2 linked regions of the Bombyx mori genome follow. The main gene of each other region encodes a partner of the protein of the gene in region 2 in a complex. Links are inferred from orthologs where the notes say so. Each region holds a gene or a part of one and is shown on either strand. Other genes may lie near its edges.

Evidence for each region. Proteins that work in one complex are often made in the same cells at the same time.
Region 1: eIF3c (region 2) and eukaryotic translation initiation factor 3 subunit L share a complex: the UniProt entries of both Drosophila melanogaster proteins name them as parts of the eukaryotic translation initiation factor 3 (eIF-3) complex. The link is inferred for Bombyx mori from reciprocal best matches to the Drosophila melanogaster genes eIF3c and eIF3l.

What each region holds. Positions count from the first base shown.
Region 1 is NC_085117.1:14,766,065-14,768,749, reverse strand, and holds the end of eukaryotic translation initiation factor 3 subunit L, read left to right. Parts: coding exon 1-213; intron 214-310; coding exon 311-496; intron 497-1,221; coding exon 1,222-1,455; intron 1,456-1,953; coding exon 1,954-2,088; 3' UTR 2,089-2,136; downstream 2,137-2,685. UniProt on the Drosophila melanogaster protein: Component of the eukaryotic translation initiation factor 3 (eIF-3) complex, which is involved in protein synthesis of a specialized repertoire of mRNAs and, together with other initiation factors, stimulates binding of mRNA and methionyl-tRNAi to the 40S ribosome.
Region 2 is NC_085122.1:5,765,298-5,767,724, forward strand, and holds the end of eIF3c (eukaryotic translation initiation factor 3 subunit C), read left to right. Parts: intron 1-268; coding exon 269-562; intron 563-1,336; coding exon 1,337-1,504; 3' UTR 1,505-1,915; downstream 1,916-2,427. UniProt on the Drosophila melanogaster protein: Component of the eukaryotic translation initiation factor 3 (eIF-3) complex, which is involved in protein synthesis of a specialized repertoire of mRNAs and, together with other initiation factors, stimulates binding of mRNA and methionyl-tRNAi to the 40S ribosome.

The sequences.
Region 1 (2,685 bases), on a different chromosome or scaffold from region 2:
TATGTCGGATTCGCGTACATGATGATGCGTCGGTACGCCGACGCCATCCGCACCCTCTCTTCTGCGCTGCTATACATGCAACGCACTAAACAATTGTTCTCCTCCCGTTCCTACCAGAATGATCAGATCAACAAACAGACCGAGCAAATGTACCATTTACTGGCCATTTGTTTGGTCTTGCATCCGCAGTGCGTTGATGAATCCATCCAGCAGGTTAGTAACCTATCATACCAGCTTTATCTAGATGACTTAAAATATAGTGTATGTACTAATTATATTATATTCATACAAATACAAATTCTATATCCAGGTGCTTCGAGAAAAGAACTACCATGAGAAGATGTTTAAAATGCAATATGGAGACCTAGGTGAATTCGAGAGCTGCTTTACTTTCGCGTGCCCCAAATTCTTATCGGCGTGTCCCCCGCCCATTGAACCCGGTGCCAACTATGGCCGTGATGCTGTCAAACACCAGACCCAAGTCTTTATGGACGAGGTAATATTAGTGATAGTATTGTGACATTATCTATCTATCAATTTAAACAAGACTAGTTTGGTTTATTATACCTCTTCTTCATTTGACTCCAACAATCTCTATTCATAGGATGAGAGTCAAGCTTAATTAAACCTGGTTGAACGATACCCAACTATGGTTTCATCTCATGTTGATTTTTTTTTTTCGGTCCTGGGGCCTAACCTACGAGGTCCCCACGCCTAGGGGGCGCGCGAGGTATGTGGGACTTGACGGTCTGCAGGTGTTGGGAGCAGACCGCGGGCCCAAGGAATTTTAGGGCCCTACCGCACTAAACGACTGCCCTGCACTCACTGTTACACCCGACGTCCGATCTCCATCCGGGGTCAGAGTAGGGGGTTCCCACGGTCAACAATACAACTAGACACGCGGCGCCACCCCAAGGACGCCCGACCAACGGGTCGTCGAGGCGTTAGTCGACAACCAACGACGCCGGTCTCCGCGGTACGGCGGCGCTACTAGGCCGCCCGGGCGATGCCACTGGTGTTCCGGGATCCGCTGGGACAGAACCAGCCTGCCGGGTCAGAACGCCATACACCGCCGACCGGGTTCCTCTTTTCCACAGTATGTTCGGCGACGACAGCGACGACGACAATGCGGACTGTTCATATTGATACTTTAACTTTAGCCAACTTAGAGTCTCTTTTTCTCATATCTCTAACGAGTAACCTTCACTTATTATATTGTAGGTCCGTCAACAAAAAATGCTTCCGACCATACGTTCCTATTTGAAACTATACACCACCCTCCCGATGGCGAAACTAGCTGCATTCATGTCTGCTGCTCGCGGCAGTGAGCGTGACGCGGCACGTGAACATGCGGCTCTCGCCATTCACTTGCTCTGCTTCAAGCACAAAATGAAGAACGTAGTTTGGACTAAAGGCCCCAGTGGTCTTGATGGAAAATTCCAAAGTGGTTCTGAGGTAAACAAACCTGTTATACTGCCTATAATTATTATTTATCTTAAGCTGGAATTCAAGTCGTCGTGACCTAAAGGATAAGACGTCCAGTGCGTTCGTATCTAGCGATGCAACGATATACGAATCCCGCAGGCATGTAGCAATTTTTCTAATGAAATACATATTTAACAAACGTTCACGATTAACTTCCACGGTGAAGGAAGTGTAATAAAAATCAAACCTGCAAAATTATAGTTTGCGTAATTACTGGTGGTAGGACGTCTTGGTACCACCACCTTGCCTATATCTGCCCTGAAGCTGTAATGAGTTTGTTTGAAGGGTGGTGCAAAAGTTGTAATATACTGAGACCTTAGAAATAATATCTCAAGGCGGGTGGCGGCATTTACTGCATAGATGTCTATGGGCTTCAGTTAACTACTTAACACCAGGTGGGCCGTGAGCTCGTCCACACATTTAAGCAAAGAAATAAAATAATAATTCAATACTACTTTTCTTTTTCAGTTGGATTTCTACATCGACAACGATATGATTCATATCGCAGATACGAAAGTGGCTCATCGCTATGGTGACTTTTTCATCCGCAAGCTGTTGAAGTTTGAAGAACTAAATAGAAAACTACACCATATTAAAATTTAAAATGGCCATTGTATCAAAACATTTACAAATAAATGATTTATACTAAAATGTCTTTAAAAACTCACAAATTACAAATTTGCATAATTACTTATGGTGTCTTGTCATTTTCTACTACAAAGCAGTCGTACGTCCGGTTTAAAAGGATAGTCATAATAAAATACAATTAGGAATTCAATATCATAAGGATAGTGGCTTTCAAATTGTGATGTCTGTGTTCTAGTAATGACTTAACAACGCACCATCGGCTCTTGGTGAGATAAAAAAATGGGGTGGCCCACAACCTTTCAAATAAATTACGTGAGAGGTGATGATCACTCATGATAAAAAATGTTTTTTTTTTTTACCTACCTAAGCTGAGAGCCTTGAAAAGCTTTATCAGCGTAACCTTAACGGTAGTAGGTGAGCTCACGGGGCTCGAACCTGACGACGTTGCTAGCACGAACCCTAGCAAGAGCCGTGCTTCGCAGAATCTACCACCGGATCGGAAACGCGACCCACTGAGAAGATCCGGCGAGAAACTCAGTGGGCTGTGTCTGAGGGTTAATTTACTCGTCGAGCCCTTCGTCGCAAGCGACGGGTTCGACGAGAACGATGACC
Region 2 (2,427 bases):
TCAGGTGAAAGGTTTAAGTGACATTTCGTTTAATACGCGAAATTTATCTTCAGTGTTGGCATCAACAGTCAGATGCTTTTAATTGAACTTCAATTATGTTTACTCCAATGAATTAGCTGAAGATTTTTTTGGATATTTTGTCCAAATTTTAAACTTGAAATGACTCTCCTGTAAAATTGCAAAAACGTCGCTTAAACCTGATAGCCTTTCAACCCGCAATATTTAATTAGTTGTAAATAAATTTTAGTTAAAGTTACTGTAATTTCAGGTTTGGGATTTAATGGTCGGAGCTGATAATGTTCGTGCAATGCTAGGTCGTCTTATACGTGAAGAGTCCCTACGTACCTATCTGTTCACATATGCTCACGTGTACGCGTCACTGTCATTGCGTTCTCTCGCTGACATGTTTGAATTACCACGTCAACGCGTACATTCTCTAGTGTCTAAAATGATCATCAACGAGGAGCTCTTGGCATCATTGGATGACCCGAGCGAATGTGCTATCTTGCACCGTTCCGAACCAACACGTATGCAGGCTCTGGCACTACAGCTTGCCGACAAGGTAGGTGGTTTTGGAATATGATGGATATTTTGATTAATTTAGGATAAGACGTCTGGTGCATTTATATCTAGCGATGTCATCTAGCGTACCGCCACCACGTATAATACTCCTATTCAAACTCTTCTCATCCCCCAACCTATAGATGGGTACAATATCTTCCAATAGTATTCCGCGATATATTTACGCGCTTAAGTGAGATGCTTTGAAGAGCCCGCACTTGATACTAACTAATTAATTGATTCCGCTTACACTTTTAATCTATGCTGATATACTTCATCCAATAATTTTGATATATGTCCTATAATTTATAATTTTGCTATGTATGCTTGGTTTGTAATTGCGAGTCCGAATACGTAATGAAGTCATTCGGGCAATAACCAAAGTAATTGATATAGCTCGCAGAGTTAGTAAGCTGAAGTGGCAATGGACTGGTCACATATGTCGCAGAACCGATAACCATTGGGGTAGACGTGTTCTGGAGTGGAGACCGCGAACCGGCAAACGTAGTGTAGGACGCCCTTCTGCTAGATAAAGCGACGACCTACGCAAGGCAGCTGGCAATGACTGGATGCGTAGAACTGAAGATCGGGTTCAGTGGCGAGCTTTGGGGGAGGCCTATGTCCAGCAGTGGACTGCCACAGGCTGATGATGATAATGACGTAACTCAAGGTTTTTGAGTCCACATAAAGCAAAAGTCAAGCTTGCAACAATCGCGGACTGTCATGGTGGGTTGAAAATATTTTGTTCTACAACTTGAGACTTGTATTATTGCAGGTCGGAAATTTGGTGGATTCGAATGAGCGTATATTCGAAAAACAAGGCTCGTTCTTCCAACGGGGCGGCGCACAGCGCGGGGAGGGGCGTCAGCGAGAGCGGCCGCGTGAGGGCTGGAACCGACGCACCCGCAACCGTCGCCGCGACGACGAACGCGCAGACGACTAGAATTGCTCTAAAGCAAAAAACGATACGAGAATTTTTCTATCACATTTTAATTAATAGTCTCCGTAAATACTACGAACTGTGTGCTTAGTGCGAGTTTTTTAACGTTCTCGATAACATAAAAGGTAGCTCATATCTGTATGGAATGGGATCGTTTGCCTGCGTTTGTCGCTAGGGGCGCTGTTCCAACTGCATACAAAATTGGGTTAACTTTTACTCTATCGAAAACGTTAAAAAATTCGCACTAAGCACACTGTAAACATTGTAGTTATAAAATTAATTGTGTAAAACTCGTCAGCATTATCAACTCCAGACAGTTTCTTTTTCGATTCCAAGAACAATTAATTTCACAAATGTGTATTCATTTTTTCATTTATCTTAAATTTTGGAAAAATAAATCGTGTCACTTGAGAAGCATTTTTATTTTATTTTTAAATAGCGTAATTTATGTCTGTCACACGACCCCCAATCTGACCTAGGCGAGGGGGCAACACAAAGCCGCCGTCGCCCCAAACATGACTTCGAATCCTCCGAACCATTCTGGGTGCTTTTAGGCTCTTCAAACACCGGACACCATTCTTATCGAAAAGTTCGATTTGCAACTTGACTATTGACACAAACTACGGAGTTTCTCACTGAATATTCTCAGTGGGTAATGAATCCAATCCGGTGGTAGATTCAGCGAAGCACTACTCTTGCTAAGGCTTGTGTTAGCAAATTCTCAGGTTGAGCCCGTGAGCTCACCTACCCGTCCGCCCGTAGCTGGAATAGCTTCATAAGCTGCCCGCGAACCATAAAGAATAGAACAAAGAAGCACCAGGTGACAAATTAAAAAAGTCTATCTGAACTCAGCAAATTATTGTTCGAGAACTCACCGAAATAGCGCTAGCTGTAGGAAGTGGAAATGGTATAAACATAGTAGTTTT